Saccharomyces cerevisiae S288C: one gene and its partner. The protein of the gene in region 1 interacts with the protein of each later gene in a biochemical or structural test. Each region holds a gene or a part of one and is shown in the gene's direction. Other genes may lie near its edges.

Evidence for each region.
Region 2: the proteins of NOP10 (region 1) and SHQ1 are reported together in a solved structure, tested with the Saccharomyces cerevisiae proteins (one study listed by BioGRID).

The regions. Positions count from the first base shown.
Region 1 is NC_001140.6:239,485-255,352, forward strand, and holds NOP10 (snoRNP complex protein NOP10), read left to right. Parts: upstream 1-2,179; coding exon 2,180-2,356; downstream 2,357-15,868. Other genes in the region: lanosterol synthase ERG7, read left to right, coding at 1-1,809; oxysterol-binding protein related protein OSH3, read left to right, coding at 3,098-6,088; QNS1 (glutamine-dependent NAD(+) synthetase), read left to right, coding at 6,709-8,853; PPE1 (phosphoprotein phosphatase methylesterase 1), read right to left, coding at 8,955-10,157; type 2C protein phosphatase PTC7, read left to right, coding at 11,617-11,671, 11,765-12,741; NMD2 (Nmd2p), read right to left, coding at 12,890-15,868.
Region 2 is NC_001141.2:156,033-173,217, reverse strand, and holds SHQ1 (Hsp90 cochaperone SHQ1), read left to right. Parts: upstream 1-1,712; coding exon 1,713-3,236; downstream 3,237-17,185. Other genes in the region: DPH1 (2-(3-amino-3-carboxypropyl)histidine synthase), read right to left, coding at 190-1,467; YIL105W-A (uncharacterized protein), read right to left, coding at 5,414-5,554; SLM1 (phosphatidylinositol 4,5-bisphosphate-binding protein), read left to right, coding at 3,577-5,637; MOB1 (Mob1p), read right to left, coding at 5,774-6,698, 6,784-6,803; PFK26 (6-phosphofructo-2-kinase), read left to right, coding at 7,457-9,940; YIL108W (putative metalloendopeptidase), read right to left, coding at 10,241-12,331; COPII subunit SEC24, read left to right, coding at 13,053-15,833; HPM1 (protein-histidine N-methyltransferase), read right to left, coding at 16,040-17,173.

The DNA.
Region 1 (15,868 bases):
AGATACATCGTCAATACAGCACATCCGGTTGATGGTGGCTGGGGTCTACATTCTGTTGACAAATCCACCGTGTTTGGTACAGTATTGAACTATGTAATCTTACGTTTATTGGGTCTACCCAAGGACCACCCGGTTTGCGCCAAGGCAAGAAGCACATTGTTAAGGTTAGGCGGTGCTATTGGATCCCCTCACTGGGGAAAAATTTGGCTAAGTGCACTAAACTTGTATAAATGGGAAGGTGTGAACCCTGCCCCTCCTGAAACTTGGTTACTTCCATATTCACTGCCCATGCATCCGGGGAGATGGTGGGTTCATACTAGAGGTGTTTACATTCCGGTCAGTTACCTGTCATTGGTCAAATTTTCTTGCCCAATGACTCCTCTTCTTGAAGAACTGAGGAATGAAATTTACACTAAACCGTTTGACAAGATTAACTTCTCCAAGAACAGGAATACCGTATGTGGAGTAGACCTATATTACCCCCATTCTACTACTTTGAATATTGCGAACAGCCTTGTAGTATTTTACGAAAAATACCTAAGAAACCGGTTCATTTACTCTCTATCCAAGAAGAAGGTTTATGATCTAATCAAAACGGAGTTACAGAATACTGATTCCTTGTGTATAGCACCTGTTAACCAGGCGTTTTGCGCACTTGTCACTCTTATTGAAGAAGGGGTAGACTCGGAAGCGTTCCAGCGTCTCCAATATAGGTTCAAGGATGCATTGTTCCATGGTCCACAGGGTATGACCATTATGGGAACAAATGGTGTGCAAACCTGGGATTGTGCGTTTGCCATTCAATACTTTTTCGTCGCAGGCCTCGCAGAAAGACCTGAATTCTATAACACAATTGTCTCTGCCTATAAATTCTTGTGTCATGCTCAATTTGACACCGAGTGCGTTCCAGGTAGTTATAGGGATAAGAGAAAGGGGGCTTGGGGCTTCTCAACAAAAACACAGGGCTATACAGTGGCAGATTGCACTGCAGAAGCAATTAAAGCCATCATCATGGTGAAAAACTCTCCCGTCTTTAGTGAAGTACACCATATGATTAGCAGTGAACGTTTATTTGAAGGCATTGATGTGTTATTGAACCTACAAAACATCGGATCTTTTGAATATGGTTCCTTTGCAACCTATGAAAAAATCAAGGCCCCACTAGCAATGGAAACCTTGAATCCTGCTGAAGTTTTTGGTAACATAATGGTAGAATACCCATACGTGGAATGTACTGATTCATCCGTTCTGGGGTTGACATATTTTCACAAGTACTTCGACTATAGGAAAGAGGAAATACGTACACGCATCAGAATCGCCATCGAATTCATAAAAAAATCTCAATTACCAGATGGAAGTTGGTATGGAAGCTGGGGTATTTGTTTTACATATGCCGGTATGTTTGCATTGGAGGCATTACACACCGTGGGGGAGACCTATGAGAATTCCTCAACGGTAAGAAAAGGTTGCGACTTCTTGGTCAGTAAACAGATGAAGGATGGCGGTTGGGGGGAATCAATGAAGTCCAGTGAATTACATAGTTATGTGGATAGTGAAAAATCGCTAGTCGTTCAAACCGCATGGGCGCTAATTGCACTTCTTTTCGCTGAATATCCTAATAAAGAAGTCATCGACCGCGGTATTGACCTTTTAAAAAATAGACAAGAAGAATCCGGGGAATGGAAATTTGAAAGTGTAGAAGGTGTTTTCAACCACTCTTGTGCAATTGAATACCCAAGTTATCGATTCTTATTCCCTATTAAGGCATTAGGTATGTACAGCAGGGCATATGAAACACATACGCTTTAAGTTTTATTTATAAGTGTTGTTAGAGGCTGCAACAATTAGAAACTAGTGCAAAACTAGTATATTTATTTGTATATGTAGTAGTAAAATAATAGGTGAAAAATTAACATGTGTTTGAAATTCCAGCTAACTATTGGTTATGGTGATTACACGCTAAGTGTAGAGTTCTTTCAAATATACCATTTATCCTTTAGCACGGCTTCACTATTTTTTTCGTCTTTTTTCAACTAAGCGGAAGGAGAAAAAAATTTCAAGTTATGCTCATCACTCTTTTATTACATTATGGTAGCTATAAAGTGGCTTATGTTAGTGAGTTGACGGAAAAGAGAAATACTTTCAATAGACCAATACATAACAAATCCTTTTGAACAAGATGCATTTGATGTACACTTTGGGCCCAGACGGCAAGAGAATCTATACATTGAAAAAGGTCACCGAAAGTGGTGAAATCACGAAGTCTGCTCACCCAGCTAGATTTTCTCCAGACGACAAATATTCAAGACAAAGAGTAACTTTGAAGAAGAGATTTGGTTTGGTACCAGGCCAATAGATTTGGGTAGTTTAAGGGAATATTGTATAGTACGTGATTCTGGCTAGTATGAAAATGCAGTGAATTTTCTTGTTTCATTTTCAATTTTCTAGACCTACATAAATTTGATAAGTTTTTAGGTGATAAATACTAATTATAATTGATCGATTATATGTTTTAATCTCGAAGGAGCAGTGGCCGTTTTCTTATCCAGAACCAGTTCTTTTAAGACTCGCCAGTTTCTTTTTAGCTGTAATAAGGAAAAATAGATTGATATTAGTTACAGTTGTGCTTCACGTTGTTAAAACGTACAAGAAAAGTCTTTAACTGTAGCAACCAAAAAAGGTACTTGATGTCGATATTAAGCCGCATCTCTAGATCTAAAGGCTCCACTCTACTGCTCCACTTTACTGCTCCAAAGAGTCGGCTTACAGATAGGCTACCGCTACATTAATAACTGTGCTGGAAAACCTTGTTTCCGGGAGCACAAAATTGTAATGACATATTTATTTTGGTTGTATCAAGCGTTTCCAACTGTTGATTCAACCAAAAAGCCTCATAGCTTTTAATACGGATATTGCTTAGGGTAGGGCGAAAAAAATAACCAAATCTTTGGAAAAAGCAGTTTGACACCATACAACCAGCAACGACATGGTTTTTTAGTGAACCTGTTGGGGGGAGAGTATAACTCGTGAAAGTTTCGACGTCCTATTTGCTGGAGAGTAGTAAAACGAGCTTGAATAGCAGCCTGCGAATCGAATTATGGAAACAATTGATATACAAAATCGATCATTTGTTGTTCGTTGGGTAAAATGTGGCCGTGGCGATGTAATCAATTATCAGATCAAGCCATTGAAGAAATCTATTGAAGTCGGCATATACAAAAAGTTGAAATCCAGTGTAGATGACCATGCTTCCGCAGTTCACATTGCACCTGACACTAAAACATTGCTAGACTATACTACGAAATCTCTATTACATAAGGGAAGTTCGAGTAATATTGAGGAGCATCACAGGCGTTCCTCACAGCACTCTCATAGTTCGAGCAATGGATCGGATAATAAGAGGAAAGAGAGATCATATTCTTCACTGTCCATTAGCGGCATACAGCAGCAATCCCAGGAAATACCCCTACGTGAAAAACTCTCTGCGTCAGGATTCACTTTGGTCAAGAGGGTCGGCAACGTTTCCGGTAACACTATGGTCCAAGGTGATCTTGAAGTGAAAGATACAGACTACTATTATGCATTTATACTGGACAACTCGTCTTCCAAGAATGCAAAAAAGAAAATTCTTTTTAACGCAAGTGTGATAAACGGCGATAATCAATCGATGATAAGCACAAGATCCACCCCTCCCGCAAGGCCTACAGCTTTAAGCAGAACATCTACTCAACAGGATATGTTATTTAGAGTAGGACAAGGTCGTTACTTGCAAGGCTACCTGCTGAAAAAAAGGAGAAAGAGACTACAAGGTTTTAAGAAAAGGTTTTTCACCTTGGACTTTCGATATGGAACCCTATCGTACTATTTAAACGACCATAATCAAACTTGTAGGGGTGAAATTGTCATAAGCTTGTCATCTGTTAGTGCCAATAAGAAGGACAAAATAATCATAATTGATTCTGGTATGGAAGTTTGGGTCTTGAAGGCTACAACTAAGGAAAATTGGCAGTCGTGGGTCGATGCGTTACAAACTTGTTTTGACGATCAGTTCGAAGATAAGGACACGTCCACTTTGGAAGAAAATCCCGACATTCTTGACGATGACAAGGAAGTAATTAATAAAAGCTCACCTCAAGACCACGACCACCTCACGCCCACGGCTACGACCAAAAGTGCACTATCACATAGACAGCATACTCAGAAAGACATGGATGACATATATGTCCCATTGCCCAGCGAATCTTACGCTACTTTCTCCATGAATCTACGTTTGATTCAACAACGACTGGAGCAGTGTAAAAAAGACTCGTTATCTTATAAACCAACTACTTTACATCAAAGATCGGAGGGGCTAAATGGAACACATTCGTCATCTTCCGTCTTTACCAATAATAGAGTGTCTTCATTCAATCATTCTTCTTCTGGTATGACGTCATCTGATTCTTTAGCCTCTGAAGAGGTTCCTTCCAACAAAACATATATTGAGCATGCTTTATATAACCAATTGGCAGATCTTGAAGTATTTGTTAGCCGGTTCGTTACACAGGGAGAGGTTTTATTCAAGGACCACCAGATCCTGTGCAAGAAAGCAAAAGACACGAGAGTTTCTTTAACTTCATATCTTAGCGAGAATGATGAATTTTTTGATGCAGAAGAGGAAATCAGTCGGGGAGTCATTATATTACCTGACACAGAAGATGATATTAATAATATAGTCGAGGAAACTCCCCTTCTTGGTAAAAGTGACCAAAATGAGTTCACAAAAGAGGTCCAATTGTCGGGATCCGAACAGATAGCTTCATCAAGTGTGGAGAGCTATACAACTAACGATGAAAATCATAGCCGTAAACACCTCAAAAATCGTCACAAAAATCGTCGCCGTGGCCACCCTCATCATCAAAAAACCAAAAGCGCCCAATCCTCAACAGAAACATTTACAAGTAAGGATTTGTTTGCTCTTTCCTATCCAAAGAGTGTTACACGCCGTAATGACATACCTGAAGCTGCAGCTTCTCCGCCAAGCCTATTATCTTTTTTGAGAAAGAATGTAGGCAAAGATCTGAGCTCTATTGCCATGCCAGTAACCTCAAATGAGCCTATTTCTATTTTGCAGTTGATATCAGAAACATTTGAGTATGCTCCACTTTTAACGAAGGCTACCCAACGTCCTGATCCTATAACCTTTGTTTCTGCATTTGCTATTTCCTTTCTTTCCATATATAGGGATAAAACAAGAACGCTAAGAAAGCCTTTTAATCCTTTACTGGCTGAAACATTTGAACTTATACGAGAAGATATGGGGTTTAGGCTTATATCGGAAAAGGTCTCACATCGTCCTCCAGTATTTGCCTTCTTTGCAGAGCATCTCGACTGGGAGTGTAGTTACACTGTAACGCCATCGCAAAAGTTTTGGGGTAAGTCTATTGAATTGAATAACGAAGGTATACTGAGATTGAAGTTTAAGACAACTGGAGAACTATTTGAATGGACGCAACCAACAACTATTTTAAAAAATTTGATAGCGGGTGAGAGATATATGGAGCCTGTCAACGAATTCGAAGTACATTCTTCGAAGGGAGACAAATCACACATCCTGTTCGATAAGGCAGGTATGTTTAGTGGAAGATCTGAAGGATTTAAGGTTTCGATAATCCCACCACCTTCGAGCAATCGCAAGAAGGAAACTCTAGCTGGTAAATGGACACAGAGTTTAGCTAATGAAACTACACATGAAACTATATGGGAAGTAGGTGATTTAGTTAGCAATCCGAAGAAGAAATATGGCTTTACTAAATTCACCGCAAATTTGAATGAGATAACTGAAATTGAAAAGGGCAATTTACCACCTACGGACTCAAGATTAAGACCAGATATTAGAGCTTACGAGGAGGGAAATGTTGATAAGGCGGAAGAGTGGAAGCTGAAATTGGAACAACTTCAACGTGAAAGACGTAATAAAGGGCAAGATGTGGAGCCTAAATATTTCGAAAAAGTATCTAAGAATGAATGGAAATACATAACTGGACCGAAGAGTTATTGGGAAAGAAGAAAGAAGCATGATTGGTCTGATATTTCTCAACTCTGGTGAATGCCTTGATGACATCAAGTGAACTTTTTTCCCCCCTTTGTACTCTATTTATTTTCCATCTTTAATGATCATCCACACAAATTACTTGTATATGCGTTCATGTATAGTATACTATATACAACATGAAGGACTTTATAAATTCTTGATCAATCTTTCACACTAATTTTATATTAACAGTTCTACACTATTTTTGTTTGCTTGACTGTAAAAACATTCTATTTTATGATTAGTTGCAAAACTTGAAAAAAACAATAGAATTTCATCACATAATTGAAAGATAATGAACTCTTTCAGTCAGTTAGATCCATGTTTTTTGAAGAAAAGTTTACGAACACAGGATCTTACAAAAGGTGCCTAAATTTGGAATTGAAAGTCTATTGCTATCAAAACTTGTCAAAGATAACATAGCTTGGAACATCTTATCCTTTATATGTCCTGCTAAGTCATATCAAGAGGCCCCAATAGTTTCGTCGAAAAAGATAAAGAGGAATATGGAAGGGAAATATAAGATTATCAACTGGTTACCTCAAAATAGACTATATGCTCACATCATCAATTGATATTGCTTGTAAAAATACCCCCAAATACCCTGGCATTCTTTTTTTGACTCCCTGCCAGTAATGTCACATCTTATCACTTTAGCTACATGCAACTTGAATCAATGGGCCCTAGATTTTGAAGGTAATAGAGACCGTATCCTACAGTCCATTAAGATTGCCAAAGAGAGGGGTGCCAGGTTACGTGTCGGCCCAGAACTGGAAATAACTGGCTACGGATGTTTAGATCATTTTTTAGAAAATGACGTTTGCCTTCATTCATGGGAAATGTATGCTCAAATCATTAAGAATAAAGAAACCCATGGATTAATACTTGACATTGGTATGCCCGTTCTACACAAGAATGTTCGTTATAATTGTCGTTTGTTATCCTTGGATGGTGAGATATTGTTCATAAGACCTAAGATTTGGTTAGCTAATGATGGTAACTATAGGGAAATGAGATTTTTCACACCTTGGATGAAACCTGGCGTGGTGGAGGACTTTATCCTTCCACCTGAGATTCAGAAAGTTACCGGCCAGAGACTTGTGCCATTTGGGGACGCTGTGATAAATTCATTGGATACATGCATTGGTACAGAAACTTGTGAAGAATTGTTTACACCTCAATCCCCCCACATCGCCATGTCTTTAGATGGTGTGGAAATCATGACAAACTCATCTGGTTCTCATCATGAACTGCGTAAGTTAAATAAAAGGTTAGACCTAATTTTAAATGCCACTAAACGTTGTGGTGGTGTTTACTTGTATGCAAATCAAAGAGGTTGTGATGGTGACAGATTATATTATGATGGCTGTGCACTAATTGCCATCAATGGTACAATTGTAGCCCAAGGTTCACAATTTTCGCTAGATGATGTGGAAGTAGTTACTGCTACTGTGGACCTAGAAGAGGTGAGGAGTTATCGTGCAGCTGTCATGTCTCGTGGCCTACAAGCCTCCTTGGCAGAAATAAAGTTCAAGCGTATTGATATTCCTGTAGAATTGGCTTTAATGACCTCCAGATTTGATCCTACAGTGTGTCCAACAAAAGTCCGCGAGCCTTTCTATCACTCTCCTGAGGAAGAAATTGCACTGGGACCTGCTTGCTGGATGTGGGATTATTTAAGACGTTGTAACGGAACAGGGTTTTTCCTTCCCTTATCTGGGGGCATTGACTCTTGTGCAACTGCAATGATTGTCCACTCTATGTGCCGTTTAGTGACCGACGCTGCTCAAAATGGAAATGAGCAAGTTATCAAAGACGTTCGTAAGATAACACGTAGCGGCGATGATTGGATTCCAGACAGTCCACAGGATCTAGCCTCAAAAATATTTCACTCCTGTTTCATGGGTACGGAAAATTCATCCAAGGAGACAAGAAACAGAGCAAAGGACCTTTCCAATGCAATTGGATCTTACCACGTGGATTTAAAGATGGACTCATTGGTATCCAGTGTGGTGTCCTTATTCGAAGTAGCCACTGGCAAAAAACCAATATACAAAATATTTGGGGGATCTCAAATCGAGAACTTGGCTTTACAAAACATCCAGGCGCGTCTAAGAATGGTTCTTTCTTATCTTTTTGCGCAACTGTTGCCGTGGGTTCGTGGTATCCCAAACTCGGGTGGATTGTTAGTACTTGGTAGCGCAAATGTTGATGAGTGCTTACGTGGGTATCTAACAAAATATGACTGCTCCTCCGCAGATATCAACCCTATTGGGGGTATTTCAAAAACTGACTTGAAAAGATTCATTGCCTACGCATCAAAACAATATAACATGCCAATCTTGAATGACTTTTTAAACGCTACACCAACTGCAGAATTAGAACCTATGACTAAAGATTACGTTCAATCGGATGAGATAGATATGGGGATGACGTATGAAGAATTGGGCGTGTTTGGTTACCTAAGAAAGGTTGAAAAATGTGGTCCTTATTCTATGTTCTTAAAACTTCTTCATCAATGGTCCCCAAAGTTAACACCTCGTCAAATATCTGAAAAGGTGAAAAGATTTTTCTTCTTCTATGCCATCAACAGACACAAGCAAACTGTTTTAACTCCTAGTTATCATGCTGAACAGTATTCACCAGAAGACAACAGATTTGACTTACGTCCTTTCTTAATCAACCCAAGATTTCCATGGGCTTCAAGAAAAATTGATGAAGTTGTCGAGCAGTGTGAAGCACATAAAGGCTCAACGCTTGACATTATGTCTATTGATTAGCACAGAAGAAGTGCTCACAGCAAAATAAGACTTTTCCACGAGTTCATATATTCTGTTATTTATTCTATCATAAATAAAGATATAAAAGTGATATTTAACCCTTATGTATTTTGCACGGTTTTGTGTTGACCCCAATTAGTCTTGATTACTACATTCCTAGAATCGTTCCGCTTCCAGAAATCAATTAAAGTGATTGCTGTTTTTATAGGCGAATCTTCTTGAATGAAATGCCCGGAATCTTGGAAAACTACCAACTGATATTTACCTTGCATTTGCCCCACAATTAATTCTTTATCGAGATTTTCGTTTCCCGCCAATATTAATAATTTACTAACAGGTAAGCCAACAAAGGAGTGCGACAGATCGGTAAACCATGTGTCCCAGAAAGGGCTAAAGGTCTTAAGGTTTGTTATCCTGACAACTTTCCCTGACTTGAGCGGAGCAAATAAAGCTGGTATAGCAATTTCGGCGCTTGACCTCAATCTCGATAACGCGTGTTGAACGTGCCAATCGACAGCGTCATTAATTGATTCAAATACATTGGGTGTATTCTGCAAAAAATGTTCAACTTTATTTAAGGCCATAATGGCAGCCTCTTCTACAATATCTAACATAGTAATACCAAGAATTTTCTTTTGTAGTTCTGTTGATAATTTAGGGTACGCAAAAGTACATATACTTCCACCAAGGGAATGACCAATTAGTATAACAGATACCTTCTGAAGTGGCTCTTGGCTTATTTTAGACTTAAACCAATAATTTAGCAGGCTTACAAAATCTTTGATAAAAGAGTCCCTGTCAAAGCATATAGGCGCATCAGCCTTCTTAAACTTTGTTTCTGCATGCCCCCTAGCATCAAATGCAAAGCATCCGCATCTTCCTTCTAGTTTAGTATTTAATTCCTTGGCCAAGTTTGCAAATGATAAACCTGAGGAGCCCGCCCCATGGTGGAAAATAAAGATGGGAATTGAAGTGGTATTTGATAACAATGAAGTAGGTAATGTATAGTATGTATTTACGTCCAGATCTCTATCAGGAAGACTTACCAACTCCTTATTATCAAAAAAATCACTCCAAGTGGGTAAACTACTCTTTTCCTTACTTGAAATTCTATCAGTAGTACTACCGGTTTTGCCCGTATATTTTCTGTTCCTATTTGATTGTCCATTAAATGATGGCAGGGAACCTAATGCATCACCATCGTTTTCATCATCCTCGTATGCTTCTTGGAATGTCGCATCTAGAACATTCTTGGCTCTCTCAAACTGGGATAAAGCAATTTTTCTTCTCAAATCGTCAGACATTGAAAATTTGAAAATGTCCTACCGTTACTACCAGTTTGTTGCCGTATTTTTGACTCTTTGTTGAGCATTAGTTGATCATTACCGCTGCAGTCAGTTAATGATATCCCTAAATAGGCATATTGTACAATTTCAAATATATTACCCGAATTACAAGAACAATAGGGTCTTCTACAATATTACTATGAACAATTCATAGGGGAACATAGTCCACTTCAATGTCGGTGCCAACGATTCTATTTGTTGTAAGTATATATGCTGTTTCCCGGCAATACTTTATATTGGGGGAATTTTCTGGAGGTTTAAGGGCATATTACTACGTCAAGGCTGGGATTGACCTTCTGGTATATATTACGTTGCGCAGGACATTCCTTATACTTGAGCCTTTGTAAAAACTTCTTCGTTCTCCTGACCAACCGTTCAATTATGTTGTGAATTTTTTGATCCGAGTTTGAAACATCCAAATTCACAAACAAACCGTTGTCATCCTGAGTTGGCGTCGGCCATTGAGCTTCCTCTATGTGTTTTAAATCTTTCATTTTAAGAAATCTAAGTAAGGAAATTGTTTCTCCACATGTGTACCGTATAAAGTTCTTGTTATGAATTAGAAGGATTATCACAAAAGCCCTCCATCAAATCTGATAATTTCATTACCCAAAGACTGTAATACCTTGGGTGTAAAGATCGTATTTTTTGATGTCTTCGTGATATTTTGCAGATCTTTCCATTTTATAAATTTCTGCAAATATCGTGCATCAGCTCATCTTGGAATTGGCACAATCTGCGTAATTTTTTTCTTGGTTCTCTTCTCCTTTTGATTTTAAGAGCGCTTTCTATTCAGTAGCAGATTTTCAGTAAATAAAGCCATCTTTCTCAAGTAAACTCATGATCATGCAGTTGTTCAAAATTACACCAATAACGATGTTATCTTTAAAACTTTCCCCAGAAAGAAGATGGCACTTTTGCACTAAATACTTCAAACTATTTAACTTTGAAGCAGGACATATTGCCGGTTATTTGACCATGCTGGCGCCGTTGACATTCATGTAAGCAGTATTAGCTTTTAAACTGCCATTAACGCACCTATACGATTGCGGCGGTGCGAAAACAGTAACTAGCACTCTTACGGCTCATTGTTTCCTCTATCCAAAGTTGCCTATATCACAATAAAATTAGAAATTAATCATTTTAATAAGCTTGCTGCCATTCAGTGACTCGCAATCTACGTTTTAAACGTAATTTAAAAATCCACTTCCACCTACATATTTTGCAACAGTCGTACGACAGAAACTGAGGCTCTATAAAATGAGATGTGCTAATTGTTCTTTCTTGGCTGGTTTCAGCTACATCTTTCTGTAATCAATCTACAAATTTACACGCGAGCTTCATTTTGACAGTAAACAAATGTAAAAGACACATGCAATAAAAGCGGTCCAGAAAACAAACGACAAAGCCACCAAAAATGTTTGCAAACGTTGGATTTAGAACTTTGAGGGTCTCGAGAGGTCCCCTTTATGGTATGTTTATTGTTTTATTCATTGGTGTGCTAATTGCTAAATTTGCGGGACAAATGCTAATCGACTCAGAGACTAACTTTTCTCATATCATAGGATCCTGCAGTCAAATCATCAGCTTTTCCAAGAGGACTTTTTACTCAAGTGCCAAGAGTGGGTATCAATCGAACAACAGTCATGGTGATGCGTATAGTTCAGGTAGCCAATCAGGCCCGTTCACCTATAAAACCGCGGTAGCTTTCCAACCAAAAGACAGAGACGATCTGATATACCAAAAACTAAAGGATTCTATTAGATCACCTACAGGAGAAGACAACTATTTTGTTACATCAAACAACGTTCACGATATTTTTGCCGGTGTCGCAGACGGTGTTGGAGGATGGGCTGAGCATGGGTATGACTCCAGCGCCATCTCAAGAGAATTGTGTAAAAAAATGGACGAAATAAGCACTGCTTTAGCAGAAAATTCATCCAAAGAAACGCTTTTAACGCCAAAGAAAATTATTGGTGCTGCATACGCAAAAATTAGGGATGAGAAAGTAGTGAAGGTTGGTGGGACAACAGCCATTGTGGCTCACTTCCCATCTAATGGAAAATTGGAAGTTGCCAACTTGGGTGATTCTTGGTGTGGAGTCTTCAGAGATTCTAAACTTGTATTCCAGACAAAGTTTCAAACTGTTGGATTTAATGCTCCTTACCAATTGTCAATCATTCCAGAAGAAATGTTGAAAGAGGCCGAAAGAAGGGGTAGCAAGTATATTTTAAACACCCCCAGAGACGCTGATGAATATAGCTTCCAATTGAAAAAAAAGGATATTATTATATTGGCTACCGATGGTGTAACCGATAATATTGCCACAGATGATATTGAGCTTTTTCTGAAGGATAACGCTGCGAGAACAAACGATGAGTTACAGCTATTATCCCAGAAGTTTGTGGACAATGTTGTCAGTTTAAGCAAGGACCCCAATTACCCCAGTGTTTTTGCGCAAGAGATTTCTAAGCTAACTGGCAAAAACTACAGCGGTGGTAAAGAAGACGATATAACTGTTGTTGTCGTGAGAGTTGACTAACACTCCGCTCTTTAATCTCCTGGAAAGCAGTGTAAATAAAAATACAGCGTCATAAACGGTACTATATAAACACGTAGCCATTTAATAGAGCCAAACATAAGTGGGCATATATAGTAAAAATTTAAAGAACTATATTCGCAAAAGAATCTCAGTCGAAAGAACGTTTTAAAACAATCTTTTTAATCTTGTTTCGCTCGGTTTTTAGTTTCTCTTCTTCTTCAAGGACATCAGAGACAAATTTCACATCCGTTGGTAATTGTAAAATTCTTGATTGTGTCTTCTTACCGCTTTTAGTCAAGAACGTAAATGCAATCTTCTTTGGCTTGGATAACTCTTCGTAGGTCTCCTTGCTTGAAGAAGGTTCTTCACTCTTTTTTAATAATAAAGGTTTTTGAACGCTGACTGGCTTCGAAATTACTGGAATTTTACTGGCAACAACCTTTTCGCTTTTCCTTGCGTCTATGGATTCTTGCATCATTTTCTGAAATTGCCTTTCCAATTCTTCTTCCGCTTTCCTTTCTTCCTCATCCTTTAGTTTTCTCTCGTACTCTTCATACATTCGTTTCATTTCAATATCTCTGTCTGCGTCAAGATCACCACCATACTCCAAATCAGAGTCGCTGTCTTCTTCTTCTTCATCATCATCATCCTCATCATCATCATCTTCATCATCATCCTCATCGCCTTCTTCTCCATCATCATCATCATCGTCATCGTCATCGTCATCATCCTCGTCATCGTCCTCATCGTCTTCATCTTCACTTTCGTCTTGCTTTGCCTGATGTTTTCCTGGCGCTGACTCTGTGTTCGGTGTACTTATCTCCGCGTCTTCATCTTCTCCTAGTAAATCGACACCATCGTCGTTTTCATCATCTTCATCCTCATCATCTTCGGTGATTGACTCGATAGGAACAGCACTCTCCTTACCGTTGTGAATGCTTGCAGAAGATCCCTTCACTCTGTCGTCTTTACTTTTTATTGCGTTTAATGATTTCAGTAAACTTTCCAACCTTGAGGCACTTTCTACCAAATTTTCTGACCTTTCAAATTTAGTGTTTCCGAAAATATTCTCATATTTTTTAAATGTGCTTGAAACTCTGAATTCTGTTTCCTTGGGTAAAGGTTGTTCTTTAATAAAAGTATAATACTCGAAAAACCTCAGCAAAAGTTTGCATTTCTTAGTAAAAGCTGCAGGGGTCCTGTTGATATTTAACAGAATTGTAGTGACTAGTTGAATCCTGAAATAATTATCCGGTGGATCTGAGTAGTTTAAATAAAATGGATTGGGTTGATTGTTGATATGACCAAACCGAATAATGTGGTAGATAGTATCTAACAAAACATCGGATTTTATCATTTCAAAGTTGAATATTTCAGTTAAGTATCTGACATTTGATATTCTATGCATGTTTTGTCCATAATCGTTAATTTCTAAGCCTCGCTCAATGTTTTCCAGTACTTGGTCTATACATCTGATGACGAAATCGCGGCGGTAACTGTATAGACCGCCTAGAACTTTTGTTAATAAGGGAATATTTTGATAGCTAATCTTATGTGGTTTTGAAAACAGAGAAAACAGCACTTTCTGAATAGCTACATCGTCCCAGTGAGCTTTCCGAACCAACTTGACAATGTGTTTGAAGTCTAGGCTACTTAGTTCACTTCTAATTAATATGCGATAAAACTGTTGTTCAGGCGTTATTGTTTTTACCGTAACATTTAATGATTTTACAGAAGGGGGATAAAGTAAAGTAATTATGTTTTCTAAGGCGCTTTTCATGTTCATGTTCAATTGCCTATCATTTTTTTTATCCTTGATTAGTTGGACCATTTTTTCCATTAATTCCTTATATTCTGGCTTATTTAGCAGAAATTTCCCTGAGTGCTCCAACAAAACCGTCAAAATTTCTACGTTATTTGGAACTTGCATATACATGATTAATGTTCTAATCTTATGAAAAATCATAAACGATGGTATTAATTGAAATTTAATCATTTCACTGAAGAAGATGATGTTTTTAACGTTAATCTTATTAGAATGTAATTGACTCCTGAAGCCATTGTCTAGGTAGTTAATAAACTCAGAAACAATTTCCGGCATATATTTGCTATTTGTTGCAATAAATCTGGAATACACTGGCAGTTTGCTCCAATCTTGTGTTTCCATGAAAAATTTCAATATTCGATTTCTTGTGGCTTTGTTGTCCAAATATGATGACCAATATCTATTTGAAAGGTCATCGATTATATCTTTACAATCTGCCATTTCCAAATCCGTAAAGAATAGATTGATATTTTTTGAGTTAACGTTTGAATCTTTTTCTGTTTTAGAAGATTGTGATTCTTCTACTGTTTTTGAGATATCTGGTAAGATTTCATAAAATTTCCTTGTATCTTCATTTTCCCATAATCGTTGGTTGGGTGGCAATATCTGATTCGTGATCATTGGAGAAGCTGTTTCTTTCAGATCATCATTAGAGGCACCTTCAAGCTCCGGAATTTCTAACTTAAAAAATTCTCCCAAAGTAATTGCAGATGTCTTGAACCTAATGAATATTGGAAGTAACTTGTCGTACTCCTCTACGTACTCATCTCTCAATTTTCCCGTTCTTATTTGGCATTTCTGATGTTCTCTTTGCAGTTTATTGACCTTCTTATGCAGTTCTGTGGCCCTCGCAAAAGTGGCGTCTATAAAATTCTTAAACAGAGACTGTAACGCACCTTTTAACTTCGAGTCATATATTAAATCATCCCAAGAATTATCATCGTCGCGAAACAAAGGTGCAAATTTCTTAATAAATGCGGTCGCAATAGTGGTAGTAAAGCCCAATTTGAACTTATAATTAAGAATCTCTCTGAGAATACTGAATAACAACGGATCCTTTCGCCCAGTTTTCTTCTGTAGGAAGTTTGGAATAGCATCTTTCGACTCAATATCATCCAATGTTCTAAAAACTCCAACTAAATAAAGCTCGGTAAATACCCGAAGATTACCTTTAACTCTGGTTATCCTTTGAAGCTCATCTCTTTCGGATTCAATGTCAACAGAGGGGTTCTCAAAAGCTTGTAAAAAAGCTCCTAAAAGCGGACTAGTAAATCGGCCATTGAACCTTTGATGAAGTCCACT
Region 2 (17,185 bases), on another chromosome or scaffold:
CAGAATAAAAATAGGCTTGACCAGCAGTGATATCAAGTTAGAAGGCATTGTTTTGAATTTTAGACAATTTAGTTTCGCCTGCAAGCCGTCAAAAACGTTTAAACAATAGAAAAGATGCTCCGAAGAATATGATACTAACTATTTATACATATGTAACAGGAAGACAAGTGACAACAAAAACTATTTAAACTATTCAATCGCATGTTTCGGAGTTTCCCCACGCCCGTATCCTTTAGCTTCGTAATAATCCATTGGATAATATTTTTCGCTGAACATGACATCTTTCTTTAGTAAGACACTAGCCTCATATGGTGTTAATAGTGGTTTATTGAAGGCATAACCCCAATCGATGGACAGTCTAGGACATGCGACCTGAACAAAAACATCAATTTGATCGAACATTGCGAGCTTTTGGGGAAAAACTTCACTTAGAATAATTTTCACCACGGTTTTACCTGCTGCGATCAGGTTTTTTTCCAAGTTTTTTACAGTGTTTAAATTACCTTGTCTACCTAATGCACCTAAGATCAGACCAAAAACTTTACCCTTCCGAGCGACTTCAATGGCCTCTGCTCTAACTTCCACGAGTTGCTTTTGATCGTATCCTTCTCTAGTGAACTTTCTGTTGTATGGGTCATACTTGAATGCAGGAATTTCCGGATTATGTATCATTGCAGACTCCAAATGAAATCTACCATCACCGATGAATACCATGGCATCGTATTGTTCTTTATCTAATCTTTCAGAAGTACACCCCAATACTTCACCCCTCGATAGAGGCTTGATTTGTGGTGGAATAATATACAGCATGTGTTCTTCATCGTTAAGCAGTTTATCTCTGACGCTGTGTACCGCAGGATTAAACTGAATGGTACCAAATGTAGCGATTCTAGATCCCTTAGGAAAATTCTTCTGCAGCGTTTTGATAATATGATCTTCTTGAATATTTATAGTAACAAAGACATATAGTACTTTAATCTTTGTAACGTCAATAGGAACTAAACACGAATGAGCGTAATGCACAATAAAATCGCAATCCAATGCCCTAGCAGTAAAATCATCAATACAGCATGCACCATAAGACACATCCCCCATTACTAGAGTTTCAACACCACAGAACTGTTCCAAAATGTCACTTATAATCAATGAGTAAATCAGCAAACCTTCAGGCATCTGTAGGGCTATTCTTTTAGCATTATATTTCCTGATATTCCACACAGTTTTGTGGATTTCAAAGTTGTAGTTAGAGGGCAATAATTTGATGGCTTCATTCAACTCTTTGTCATTCAATATATCTTCTGGCACATGATTAACACTCCTACCTAGGGCGATTCTACTCTTTTGCTTGTGGATTATTTCGTTGCCATTTTCAGCCACTGTAGTTAATTTGTCATTATTACTGTTGCCAGATTTTCTCCCAATAAATCTTCTTCTTGGTTGTTTTTTAGATTCTGTAGAGCCACTCATTACGAAAAAGAAATGCTTCAAGCTATCCGATTATCCTTAAAATTCGCAGCAGATAGTTCATGAGATTTCACTTATTTTATTTGATTGTTATTACTACTACATGTTTTTTTTTTCATCACCATCGCATCGCAAAAATCAGCTGAAAAATTTTGAATACTAAATATTCAGTGTCAAGTGCTCAGAGTAATATTAAGATTCACAAAAGAAGAATACTTGCTATAATCTACCATCACTTCTGAACTATAATGATAACACCAAGATTCTCTATAACACAGGATGAGGAATTTATATTTCTCAAAATATTCATAAGTAATATTAGGTTCAGTGCAGTGGGTTTAGAGATAATCATCCAAGAAAATATGATCATTTTTCACTTATCCCCTTACTATTTAAGATTAAGATTTCCTCACGAATTAATCGATGATGAGAGGTCTACCGCTCAATACGATTCCAAAGATGAATGCATCAATGTAAAAGTAGCCAAACTGAATAAAAATGAATATTTCGAAGATTTGGACCTACCGACAAAGTTGTTGGCTAGGCAAGGCGATCTTGCAGGTGCCGATGCATTAACAGAAAATACTGATGCGAAAAAAACCCAAAAGCCCCTTATTCAAGAGGTCGAAACTGATGGCGTGTCGAATAATATTAAAGATGATGTGAAGACTATTGGTCAAATGGGAGAGGGGTTTAATTGGGAGATAGAGCAAAAGATGGATTCCAGCACCAATAATGGAATATTGAAGACAAAATATGGGTTTGATAACTTATATGATACAGTTATATCAGTGTCGACAAGCAACGGGAACGATATCAATGAATTAGACGATCCTGAACACACTGACGCGAACGATAGAGTTATTGAAAGGTTAAGAAAAGAAAATTTGAAGTTTGATCCTGAGTACTATGTTTCCGAGTATATGACACATAAATACGGTAACGAGGAAGACTTGGAAATTAACGGCATTAAAGAACTACTGAAGTTTACACCTTCGATCGTAAAGCAATACCTGCAATGGTACAAAGACAGTACGAACCCAAATCTGGTCATGCCAATTGAGTTTACTGACGAGGAACAAAAACAGATGCAGGACAATTTACCCAAGAAGTCTTATCTCGTGGAAGATATAAAACCACTTTATGTCACTATACTCAGCGTTCTTTTCAGTTATGTGTTTGAACAGATCGAAAACGAAGGTACTCATACCACAGAGAGTGCTTGGACCATGGGAAAATTGTGCCCTCAAATATCATTCTTAGACCAACAATTAAAACAGGTGAACGAACTGCAAGACGGTATGAAAGAAATATCAAAGGTTAATAAAGACAGCTCTCTCATCAAGATTGCAATCATTACAGGTATCAGGAGAGCCCTGAGTTATCCACTACATAGAAACTATGACCTAGCAATGAAAGCGTGGACATTCGTATATTATATTCTACGAGGTGGTAAGAGACTAGTCATAAGGGCGCTTTTGGACATTCATGAAACATTTCGTTTCCATGATGTTTACTACGTCTACGACAAAGTTCTCTTGGATGATCTGACTGCGTGGTTCATTTCTCAGGGTAGTGAGAACGTCATAAGAAGTCTGGCCTTGGAAATGAGAAAAGAGCAAGAGTCACTTTCCAAGCAGGATATTGAATTTGAATGTATTGCATCGTTCAACGAACAAACTGGCGAACCTGAGTGGGAGACACTAAATATAAGAGAGATGGAAATTTTGGCAGAGTCTGAATACCGAGAGCAGCAGCAGAACCCACAATGAAGATCATTTGAATGTTTAGCGTAGATTACTGCATTAGATAGAGTATATATTGATTAACGTTCCTGCAGGGGCCTAAAATTGGGTTACCCTTCTCTTCCCGCGGCTTTTCCCCTCATGGCATTACGTATTCCATCGAAGAAGGGAGAAGGCTTTCAAGCCTTGAAGAGTGACAGCGATCCAAGCTGGGGGGGGGAAAAACAACGAGGACATCTGTTGAGCCCTTGAATTGGTACAACCTATTAGAGTGTTCTTATATCTGCATTTGGTCATCTTCTTTTGAAGCTTTTTAAAGAAAAAAAGTAGTTAACAATAAAAGAATACAACATTAAAAGAAAAAAAAATGTCGAAAAACAACACAATGACCTCTGCGGTCTCTGATATGCTGTCACAGCAACAGCTAAATCTTCAGCACCTGCATAACTTGCAGCAGCATACGAGAAGTATGACTTCAGCAGATCATGCCAACGTTTTACAACAACAGCAACAACAACAACAACAACAACAGCAGCAGCAGCAGCAACAGCAGCAGAGCGCAAGCTTTCAAAATGGCAGTTTGACATCCGATATAAACCAACAAAGCTATTTGAATGGACAACCAGTTCCTTCCACTAGTAATTCAACGTTTCAAAACAATAGGACGCTGACGATGAATTCTGGAGGGTTGCAAGGTATCATAAGCAATGGTTCTCCTAATATCGACTCGAACACCAATGTAACCATTGCTGTCCCAGATCCCAATAATAACAACGGGAAACAGCTCCAAGGGAAAAACTCTTTAACCAACACTTCAATACTGTCGAGGGCTAGGTCTTCCTTACAACGTCAAAGACTTGCTCAGCAACAGCAACAACAACAAGATCCTAGATCTCCATTAGTAATACTGGTCCCTACAGCTGCGCAACCAACAGATATTCTTGCAGCGAGGTTTTCAGCTTGGAGAAATGTCATCAAGTCGGTGATCGTTTACTTAACAGAAATCGCTTCTATTCAGGATGAAATTGTTAGACAGCAACTAAGATTATCACATGCTGTACAATTCCCATTCTTTTCGATCGAGAATCAATACCAACCAAGCTCGCAGGAGGATAAATCAGTACAAAAGTTTTTTTTGCCATTGGGTAATGGCTCGATACAGGACTTACCAACAATTTTGAACCAGTATCATGAATCCCTAGCATCCAGCGCGTCTAAGGCATCAAGGGAATTGACCAATGATGTTATTCCTCGTTTGGAAGACTTGAGGAGAGATCTAATAGTCAAGATAAAGGAAATAAAATCACTGCAGTCGGATTTCAAAAATTCTTGTTCCAAAGAGTTACAACAAACAAAACAGGCCATGAAGCAATTTCAGGAGTCTTTAAAGGATGCGCGCTATTCAGTGCCAAAACAAGATCCATTCTTAACCAAGCTGGCGCTTGATAGACAAATTAAAAAGCAACTTCAGGAGGAAAACTTTCTGCATGAAGCTTTTGATAATTTAGAGACTTCAGGCGCTGAATTAGAAAAAATTGTAGTTATGGAAATTCAAAACTCTTTAACAATATATGCCAGATTACTGGGACAAGAAGCACAATTGGTTTTCGATATATTGATATCCAAATTAGATTCTGGATTTTTCAACGTTGACCCACAATTTGAATGGGATAACTTCATTTCAAGGGATCCCAACTTTTTATTGCCTAATCTACCGATGAGGACATTCAAAGAAATCGTTTACAAATACCAATTCGATCCTTTGACTTATGAAATCAAATCAGGGTTTTTAGAAAGAAGATCAAAATTTCTAAAATCCTATTCAAAAGGGTATTATGTGCTGACACCGAACTTTTTACATGAATTCAAGACCGCGGACAGAAAAAAAGATTTAGTACCAGTGATGTCGTTAGCATTAAGTGAATGTACTGTGACGGAACATTCCCGGAAAAACAGTACATCATCACCAAATTCGACTGGTTCGGATGCTAAGTTTGTGTTGCATGCTAAGCAAAACGGCATAATTCGTCGTGGTCACAATTGGGTTTTTAAAGCCGATTCTTATGAATCAATGATGTCTTGGTTTGATAATTTGAAGATCTTAACATCTACTTCGAATATACAAGACAAGTATAAATTCATAACACAAAAATTAAACTTGAATTCAGATGGGAAACCCAAGCTAACCAATAACCATACCAGCATTAATAAGTATCAGCTGAGTAATGCCAATAGCACAATGGTAGAAAATGATGAAAACGATGATATAAATAGTAATTATGTGGGGTCCACGGTAACACCAAAATTGGACAATCAAACAAATACGAATACATCCATGTCTTCATTACCTGATACTAATGATTCTGAATTACAAGATCAAGTTCCCAATATTTATATTCAAACTCCAATAAACGATTTCAAATCATAAATACAAGTATAGTAAACTAGAATGTTTTTATTTCCTTCCATCCATATGTTATATTAATATGTTTCCGTATTTTTGTTTTTGTGTCCCATGCATGGAAGAATACAACCTACAAGCAGACTTATATAAATATACAATACTACCTATCCCTCAACTCCATCACTAATTCTAACAGCGGACCAAAATCAGCCGGTCTTAGTAGTTCGAACTCTTGTGCAAAAAGACAAAAATGTCTAAAACTTGTGTTTAGTACGGTTTGTAAATTTAGTTCAAGAATTTCATTAAAATGATGACAGTAAATATGCGCATAAACTCTGAATAATCGCCTTAGAATTGGTTGAATTACTCGTTGGATGAATCCCTCCGGGAAGGTACCGGTGACTTTGGAAGGAAAAAGAGATTCGTCATCAAATTGGTCTTGACACCACCTCATCAAACATTCCACATACTTAGGGGCACTTACCGAAACGGGGGGCTGACCCTTTTGAAATGCCCAAAGATATTCATATTCGTTCGTCGCTATCATCCTCGGGCATGTTTGTGGGGAGCAAAATTCTGTGATGGACCCGTATAACATATTAATCTGATTGTAAAAATCCACGCAATGAACCGCTAGCCATTCATTCTCATCCTCACCACGCGGTAACTTCACAGCTTGGTTAAGGACTCCCTCAGACCCCAGTGTCATCTCCACAATTTGCTTGATGTCTTGATGTGTTGTAACTGTCGTACCTGCTTGCGGTTGTAGAAACGGCTTCTGATGCGATGGTGTATAGTTAAAGTCCGTTACATTTTGTAATTGTTCAGGCGGAGGGGCGTGCCTCTTTGGCGTAGTGAGGACGGGAGACATCCTTCCATGGTCGCTTTCATTATATCCGTTTACTGGATTGTTTGTAAAATCTGCTCTATTGTTAATAGTATTGGCATTATTATTATTGCCGTTAATAGTATTGTTATGGGGAGTTGCCTTAGTAGGCGATACAGAGCCTGCATTATTAGCTGCATTGGCAGTATTCCACTTGAAACCTCTAGTAGATCTTATTGTTTGGCCGGGACTTATATGACTGCTTTCAAAAGGTAACTCATACCCAGTTTGTTAATAAAAGATGAACAATAATACTTGAAGTAGAAAAGAAAATAGCAACATACAAATTTTGTAGAAAAGACATGGAAATTGAAGTCCTTATTGAATTAGGAAAATTTTGTTGAAGATACTAACAAAAAAACCGGTTTTCTCTCGAATAAACTAAAAAAATATCTATACAGCTCAAACGGGCTGAGCTAAGGCTCTTTTAGATCAGTAATGTTACCAAAGCTATAATTGTAATTCTTCTAACGTTTTGATATTTCCATTTTGGGAAGTAGTATTACCCTTCTTTTGATCGAACGTATTTGTCATATTATACGAGTGGGATACCCGACCGATAATAATAATCACGTTTATATCACGTGATCATCTCTGAATACCAAAATCACAACATACGGAAATTAGGGGACATAAGATTTTTTGAGGAGAGATTTCTTTTCCTATTTATTTTTAATCGCGCCATTACTGACAATAGCAAATTAATTTATAGTGGAGTACATGGACTATTTATTATAGATTTTGTTGGCATATTCTTTTTTTAACAATAAAAGGTATACATATATATATATAGACAAACTCAAGTATTCAGTTACGGGTAAATCAAGTGAAATAAATTTCGCCTTTTAGTATCTATTTGTGTACTTTTGTGCCATAAGCTAAAAGAGTAAAAATAATAACAAGAGGCGTAGAAGAAGGGTTTATTCAAGGGAACAAAGGCAAGAGGAATAAAAGCTCATGTTCAAACCAGTAGACTTCTCTGAAACATCTCCTGTGCCGCCTGATATTGATCTTGCTCCTACACAATCTCCACACCATGTGGCACCTAGTCAAGACTCCAGTTATGATCTTTTATCCCGGAGTTCCGATGATAAAATTGATGCTGAAAAGGGTCCGCATGATGAATTATCTAAGCACTTACCACTTTTTCAGAAAAGACCTTTGAGCGATACTCCTATATCGAGCAATTGGAACTCTCCTGGAATCACTGAAGAAAATACACCTTCTGACTCTCCTGAAAATAGCGCTACTAATTTGAAATCGCTACATCGATTGCATATTAACGACGAAACGCAACTAAAAAATGCTAAAATTCCCACAAACGATACTACTGACTACATGCCTCCTTCAGATGGAGCAAATGAGGTAACTCGGATTGATTTGAAAGACATTAAATCACCTACGAGACACCATAAAAGAAGACCTACCACCATCGATGTTCCTGGTTTAACAAAGTCTAAAACATCTCCAGATGGTCTCATATCAAAGGAAGATAGTGGATCAAAGTTAGTGATTGTCATGGTCGGACTGCCAGCTACGGGAAAGTCATTTATTACAAATAAATTATCCAGATTTTTAAATTATTCTTTATACTATTGTAAAGTGTTTAATGTCGGTAACACTAGAAGGAAGTTTGCTAAGGAGCATGGCCTAAAGGACCAGGATTCAAAGTTTTTCGAGCCGAAAAACGCCGACTCTACTAGGTTGAGAGACAAATGGGCCATGGATACTCTGGATGAATTGCTAGATTATTTATTAGAAGGTTCAGGATCTGTGGGAATTTTTGATGCTACAAATACCTCTCGTGAAAGAAGAAAAAACGTTCTGGCTAGAATCAGAAAGAGAAGTCCTCATTTGAAGGTTTTATTTTTAGAATCTGTTTGTTCGGATCATGCACTGGTACAGAAAAATATTAGACTCAAATTATTTGGTCCAGATTACAAAGGTAAAGATCCTGAAAGCTCTTTAAAAGATTTTAAAAGTCGCCTGGCAAACTACTTGAAAGCCTATGAACCAATTGAGGATGACGAAAATTTGCAGTACATCAAAATGATAGATGTGGGAAAGAAAGTCATCGCATACAATATTCAAGGGTTTTTAGCTTCGCAGACGGTATATTATTTGTTAAATTTCAATTTGGCTGACAGACAAATTTGGATAACGAGAAGTGGCGAGAGCGAAGATAATGTTAGTGGCCGTATAGGCGGAAATTCCCATTTGACTCCTCGTGGTCTAAGATTTGCTAAAAGTCTACCAAAATTCATTGCCAGACAGAGAGAAATATTTTATCAAAATCTCATGCAACAAAAAAAGAATAATGAAAATACAGATGGGAACATTTATAATGACTTTTTCGTTTGGACCAGCATGCGTGCTAGGACTATAGGGACTGCTCAATATTTCAACGAAGATGATTATCCTATCAAACAAATGAAAATGTTAGATGAGTTAAGTGCAGGTGATTATGATGGTATGACATATCCAGAAATTAAAAACAACTTTCCTGAAGAATTCGAAAAAAGACAGAAAGATAAGTTGAGATACAGATACCCTGGTATTGGCGGTGAATCGTATATGGACGTTATTAATAGACTCAGACCTGTTATCACAGAACTAGAAAGAATCGAGGATAACGTTCTTATTATTACACACCGGGTGGTGGCAAGAGCCTTATTGGGTTATTTTATGAACTTGAGTATGGGTATTATTGCCAATTTGGATGTCCCATTACATTGTGTATATTGCCTAGAACCAAAACCATATGGAATCACTTGGTCATTATGGGAGTATGATGAAGCATCGGATTCATTTTCTAAGGTCCCACAAACGGACTTGAATACCACCAGAGTAAAGGAGGTTGGCCTTGTTTATAATGAAAGAAGATATTCTGTTATACCAACAGCTCCGCCAAGTGCAAGAAGCAGCTTTGCAAGTGACTTTTTGTCAAGAAAAAGATCTAATCCTACTTCTGCATCTTCATCCCAGAGTGAATTATCAGAACAACCCAAGAATAGCGTTAGTGCTCAAACTGGCAGCAATAATACCACTCTCATTGGGAGCAACTTTAACATCAAGAATGAAAATGGTGATTCGAGAATACCATTATCTGCACCACTTATGGCCACTAATACTTCTAATAACATCTTAGATGGTGGAGGTACCTCAATTTCGATACATCGTCCCAGGGTTGTTCCAAATCAAAACAACGTGAATCCTCTTTTGGCTAACAACAATAAAGCGGCTTCTAATGTACCTAATGTAAAGAAGTCAGCGGCTACACCAAGGCAAATTTTTGAAATAGATAAAGTGGACGAAAAGTTATCCATGTTGAAAAATAAAAGTTTTCTATTACATGGAAAGGATTATCCTAATAATGCTGATAATAATGACAACGAAGATATAAGGGCAAAAACCATGAATCGCAGCCAAAGTCACGTTTAAAATAATATGAAAAAAAAAAAAAAAAAAAAAAATCAGAAATATTTTATGAATTATTCAAATAGACTAATGAAGTGATAAAACCAACCTTTTTTTTTCTTCTTTAAGGTATATTGTTCGACGCAATCATGAAGTGTTGCGGTTTTTTGTTTATATTTTTCTATAACTGTTTTCCTTTTTCCCAAAGAATTATGCAAATGAAGAATATCTACGTATATATGGAAAATAATTTAATAGATATATTTTGATATGACTAAGTTATGAAATAGAAAAAAATAAGAAAAAAAAAACCTTGACTAATTACTATAAAGCTCCGTAAATAATTCCGAAGGCGTCGACCCATTGACCGACTCTGCCAGTCACACCTAGGATATATTGGCCATTAGGTGGCTGCAATTCAGCGAACCCACCTCCGTCTTTGTTACCAAACATGTCGGTCATTCTCCCATGACTCGTTATAATTTGGATAGCATCAACCCAAGCTCCGCACCTCAGATTAAACCCAATGATTATTTCACCCGGTTCTAGTGTAGCATCCGTAAAATTTTGTGTTTCATGTCCAAAGAGTACACTTTTTAGATTTTCTTCGTTTATTGAAGCATGATTTTTGATACTATGTGTAATTTTTGAGAAATAATTTCTTGGTGGTACAGAGGGCTTGGATGCGGGAGCATCCTTTGTTCCAGTTGGTTTTTCCTTGTAATAAAACCTCACACCATCTAATGCATAGCCATGGTATATTCTCACAGCAGTGACTAATCTAACATCAAAAGCGACGACGCCGACAGCATTACCACCGTCGCTGCGACCATAAAGTGGTGATTTGATACCTTGAACATTTTTAGAAAACCCATATTTCGACATGTCTAATGGCTGAACATCTAACAAAGATGGGAACTTGTCGAACTCGGTTTCCGGTGCATTAACAGAAAGAATTTTCAATTTGAAGGTATTGCCAAACTTGGCGAGTTCATTCTTGGGCAACCTGGCACGTAAATCATCTAATGTTACTATAACTTCCCGTTGAGGCCCCTGTCCACCTAGGGAAACCGGCAAGTATTCAATATGGCCCCTGGCCAAATCATCACATATAATTTCAATCAAATAGATTCCTGTGGGCGATAATATGCGGCAACTGCCGTTACCCAAAGGATATACAGAGTGTTTTATATTGGGGTATCCGCCCAATTTTGTAGGTCTCATGAACGATGGATCGTAATAATCCTGTGGTAAAGTGAAAGAGGGGTGGTACAAAAATCTTACCGTATCGAGACGGTTCCAGGTACATTCTTCCTTGGGGAAGATGGGAGGACTAGCACCAGTTGAATTAGTTCTTACAGAATAAGCCTCTTTAGTCAAGAAAGACCTATTCAAAGTGGTATAGCCTCTTAGCATAACACCGCTTTCCTGATGAGGACAACCCAGTAAGTGACCAATCTCATGCATAAATGCTCCCAACGTGATAGTCAAACATTCCCAGTAAGTACCACACTCATTACAGTCGTTGGCGACTTCACTGGTGGAGGATCTTGTCTCATCAGTAAAATAAGGCACCAATTGCTCGAGACAAGTAGGCCATGAGTAAAGCCCGTGCGACCCAAAAATGGCGAGCTTAATGCTGTCGTCACCCCCACCCAATGCGGCGTGGCCTCTAATCAACTTACCATCCCAGTGGGTGTCTAGAAACATACAAGCTGCCTGAACAGGCTTTTCGTTATTGGTGAAGGGTCCGCCGTAACTTTTAAGGGCGTCCATGGCTATCCCAAAAAGGGCGCCGGTGTTTTTCCCTTTGGAATTCTGTTGAGCTATGTCAGGGTCCTGGATTTCCTTCACCGTCTTTTCCGAACGAACTACATGTATTTTGATGGTGTTTCTCATAGCAGGCCGTTCGAACAGCGTGTCCCAGGTAAATTCTTCAACAAAGGGAAACGTCCTATTTCCCATACTGTTTCTCAGCATTTGCTCGTTCGTGTACGCTTGCATGAGTCTGGCCCCAAGTCTTAGCTTCTTGATTGCCAATTCGAGGCCATTCCCGCCCTCTCTGTCCTTCTGTTCTCGAGGAGAGTCAAACTGTAAAGGCGAATCCTTGGCCAAGATCAGACACAGGTGTACGGGAGGGTTCTGCGTCAGTGGTGTGTAGTAACATACGATTGTCCTAGCGGTGTTAGTGTCTGTAACAAAGGTCAACTTGTTCTCACCAGGAGTCAATATCACAGTGGCCTTGAAGAACTGATTATGTATGGGGTAAGTAATTGGAGGCAATTGTGGATGCTGCACTTGAACGGTCTTCGCACCATTTTGCTTATTGCATTTTCCGTGCACGATAAGACAAGGAGAAACGATTTGCTCGTTCTCTCTCAGGTTGAATAGATCAATATCCTTCGAGCCTACCATTTATTTCTTTCTCTTCGAACTACTACTTCCTTTTTTTTTTTTTACTGTATACGATCTAATAATAAGAAGAAAGAAGAACTCCTTTTAAATTTCCTTTTTCTCTCTATTTTCCGGCGACCGCTACTCTTAAACGTCCAAACCAAAAAAAGATCGAGAGAATTGACTGCGCCAAGACACATGAACTTCTGAAACCTAAGAAAGCCTGACTGTTCCTAAGGTGATCTATATTTATATACAACATCATGCTCTTAAAAGAATAGGTTACGTAATTAATTGATGGAAAATTTCAGCAAATTTCCGCCTAGAATGCCGGGTAACAAAAAAGTAATTAGTGCTATGTTTGGGTGATAGAATCGTGTCACAAATATACATAGCACTGACAAGTGTGCATTTTGCACTAACCACTGCTATAAGTTTTTCAGCTTAATGCAGTCTATTCAGGCACTATCTGGGCTTGAAAAACAGTCTTGGACATGGCCACTGGAGCAGATTTGTTAACGCTTAGCTGTTCTCTTTTTTTTTTTCTTGTTTTTTCCATTTACGGCAGAAGAAAATGAAAACTGGAAGAACGAAAACGAAGAAAAACAAAACTATGTAAGGAGGATGGTACATCAGGAAACAGGCCAAAAATAGCACTACAAAAAGGTTTTATCTGGCACTCAGGTCCATTTTTGCCGCATTGAAACAGACATAAATATATAAGTCTGAGACCATCTGCAAAATGTCTCATCACAAGAAACGTGTTTACCCACAAGCTCAGCTCCAGTATGGACAAAATGCCACCCCTCTACAACAGCCAGCACAATTCATGCCTCCGCAGGATCCTGCTGCAGCTGGAATGAGCTATGGTCAGATGGGAATGCCGCCACAGGGTGCAGTCCCTTCCATGGGGCAGCAACAATTCCTAACCCCTGCTCAAGAACAGTTACACCAGCAAATTGATCAGGCCACCACTTCCATGAACGATATGCATCTGCACAACGTACCGCTAGTCGATCCTAACGCTTATATGCAGCCACAGGTTCCCGTGCAAATGGGCACACCTTTGCAGCAACAGCAACAACCAATGGCAGCGCCTGCGTATGGCCAACCTAGCGCCGCAATGGGCCAAAACATGAGGCCCATGAACCAGTTGTATCCAATCGATCTGTTGACGGAATTGCCTCCTCCAATTACCGATCTGACCTTGCCTCCCCCACCGTTGGTTATTCCTCCAGAAAGGATGTTAGTTCCTTCTGAATTGTCCAATGCGTCTCCAGATTATATCAGGTCGACCTTGAACGCCGTTCCTAAGAACAGCTCCCTGCTGAAGAAGTCTAAACTTCCATTTGGGCTTGTTATCAGACCATACCAACACTTGTACGACGATATCGACCCGCCTCCATTGAATGAAGATGGACTTATTGTCCGTTGTCGTCGTTGTCGTTCTTACATGAACCCTTTTGTCACTTTTATCGAGCAAGGCAGAAGATGGAGATGTAACTTTTGTCGTCTGGCCAATGACGTTCCTATGCAAATGGACCAGAGCGATCCAAACGACCCAAAGAGTAGATACGACAGAAATGAAATCAAATGTGCTGTGATGGAATATATGGCCCCAAAGGAATATACTCTAAGACAACCACCTCCAGCCACTTACTGTTTCCTGATCGATGTCTCCCAGTCCTCTATCAAGAGTGGGTTACTGGCCACTACCATCAACACCCTTTTGCAAAATCTTGATTCCATTCCAAACCATGATGAAAGAACCAGAATTTCCATCTTATGTGTAGACAACGCCATTCACTACTTTAAAATCCCATTGGATTCTGAAAACAATGAAGAGTCCGCCGATCAAATCAACATGATGGATATTGCCGACCTGGAAGAGCCTTTCTTGCCCAGACCAAACTCTATGGTTGTGTCCTTAAAGGCCTGCAGACAAAACATTGAAACTTTATTGACCAAGATTCCTCAAATCTTCCAATCTAATTTAATCACAAATTTCGCACTGGGCCCCGCTTTGAAATCCGCTTATCATTTAATTGGTGGCGTTGGTGGTAAAATAATTGTTGTGTCAGGTACTTTGCCCAACTTAGGCATAGGAAAATTACAAAGGAGAAATGAAAGTGGTGTTGTTAATACATCCAAGGAAACTGCACAACTACTTTCCTGTCAAGACTCATTTTATAAGAATTTCACCATCGATTGTTCTAAAGTACAGATTACTGTCGATTTATTTTTGGCTTCTGAAGATTATATGGACGTTGCATCACTATCGAATTTGAGTCGTTTCACTGCTGGTCAAACGCATTTCTATCCTGGTTTTTCAGGCAAGAACCCAAATGATATTGTCAAATTTTCCACTGAGTTTGCCAAGCACATTTCCATGGATTTCTGTATGGAAACCGTAATGAGAGCCCGTGGTTCCACAGGTTTGAGAATGAGTAGATTCTATGGTCACTTCTTCAATAGATCATCTGATTTATGTGCATTTTCCACCATGCCAAGAGATCAATCATACTTATTCGAAGTTAACGTTGATGAATCCATTATGGCTGACTATTGTTATGTTCAAGTAGCGGTACTTTTATCTCTGAATAATAGTCAACGTAGAATAAGAATTATAACATTGGCTATGCCAACCACGGAATCGTTGGCAGAAGTCTACGCATCTGCTGACCAATTAGCTATAGCGTCGTTTTACAACTCGAAGGCGGTGGAGAAAGCATTGAATTCCAGTTTGGACGATGCAAGAGTATTGATCAACAAATCCGTGCAAGATATCTTAGCCACGTACAAGAAGGAAATAGTGGTGTCCAACACTGCAGGGGGGGCCCCATTGAGGTTATGTGCCAATTTGAGAATGTTCCCATTGTTAATGCATTCTTTAACTAAGCATATGGCATTTAGATCTGGTATTGTCCCAAGTGACCATCGCGCCTCGGCCTTGAACAACTTAGAATCATTACCTTTGAAATATCTAATCAAAAACATCTACCCTGATGTTTATTCGCTGCATGATATGGCTGATGAGGCTGGGTTACCAGTGCAAACTGAAGATGGTGAAGCTACTGGCACAATTGTTTTGCCTCAACCAATCAATGCTACCTCTTCGTTGTTTGAAAGATACGGTCTATACTTGATAGATAATGGTAACGAATTGTTTTTGTGGATGGGTGGTGACGCTGTACCAGCGCTAGTATTCGATGTGTTTGGAACACAGGATATCTTTGACATTCCAATTGGCAAACAGGAAATACCTGTTGTTGAAAATTCTGAATTCAATCAAAGAGTAAGAAACATTATCAACCAATTGAGAAACCATGATGATGTCATCACTTACCAATCATTGTATATTGTTAGGGGTGCCTCTTTGAGCGAGCCCGTTAACCATGCATCTGCTAGGGAAGTTGCAACGCTAAGACTATGGGCTTCTAGCACCTTAGTGGAGGATAAGATTTTGAATAACGAAAGTTACAGAGAATTCTTACAAATCATGAAAGCCAGAATTAGCAAATAAGGCTAAAAGGGAATCAATGATAAAAAGAAACTGTATATTTTTGTTGGTTGCATTTTTGCTTTCCAATTATATTATGTATATTGAACAGTTACTTTAATTTTTACTTCTATATTTCTTTTCTATTTTCATCCATGTTATAAATAAAAGATACAGTAAAAGACTTATGGATTAACTTAAGGAAATGAAGTTGAAACAAATTATACTAACTATCGGATAGCTTTATTTGTTTCAATGCATATAATCGACCTTTTTAAGCCAGAGTTAACTTTAAACCTTTCAGAATGAATTGGTAGATGTTCGGAGTTTATTTTGTCGTCCAAATAAGCTTCAAATTCAGTGATGCTACCACCGACTCCAAAATAAATATCCTTTGCGGCTACGTAAGTTTTGACATCGGTTTGTGGTAAATTGTGTATGTCAAGTATTGTTTCCGCTATAACGGGCAAATTGTCAGGTTGATAAATTGTTTCTGAGGATAATGAAAGGACTTTTTGGCTACCTGAGAGTACTTCATGGATCAAATTACTAAATTTACGTCCCCACGATCCTGATATAAGAGTGACGCTGATATTCCTGCTTTGTACATCGTCGTAAAAGGCAGCTAACAGCTTTGAGGTAAGAAGCAGTTCCTCATTATTTATTGGAATATCTTCACATTCGTCTTTCTGTAAGGCGTACCATTGTTCCTTTGTCAAAACCGTTTTAGCCCATGTTATAACCAAATTCGGTATGGTAACTAATCTTAATACACTGGCATTATAGTCAGTCAAAACAAACTTTAAACCTTTACTTCTATCATTCCGTAGAAGAGCAGATCTGAAAAGAAACTCTGAGGGTAGTGCCGTACCACAGCCTATTTCGACAACCGCGTCGATATCGTTGCTTATTCTATCAACGTTCTCTGACAACAAATCAACTAAATCATAAGAGCACTCCCATGATTTCAACCCACCTTCATAGATGTTCTTTCTCAAATCTTCAGAAGTATCACCTAGTAAAATGTCCAGTTCCGTGGAGTTGTTGTTGGATTGGGCATCTGTCTCTAACATTAGCTGATGTTTGACATCGAATAGTTCCCTCTTGATCAATGGTTTTCTATATATCGGAGATTGGAACTCTTCAAATGTCAATCTAACATCCTTAAGACTTTCCAATATTGTTCCTAGGTCTTCCACATTTGGCTGCACAACTCCAGCTTGCGACAAGAAATCCGAATCTAATGGATTGATGTAAGCAGTGGTATTTTCGTTTTCTTTGCTGCTTTCAACGAATGTTTCAGGTTGAGCAACAAGCTCATCATCATCAAAGTCATTGGAAGTAAAGCCGAAGGAAAATGACATATTTTAGCTACA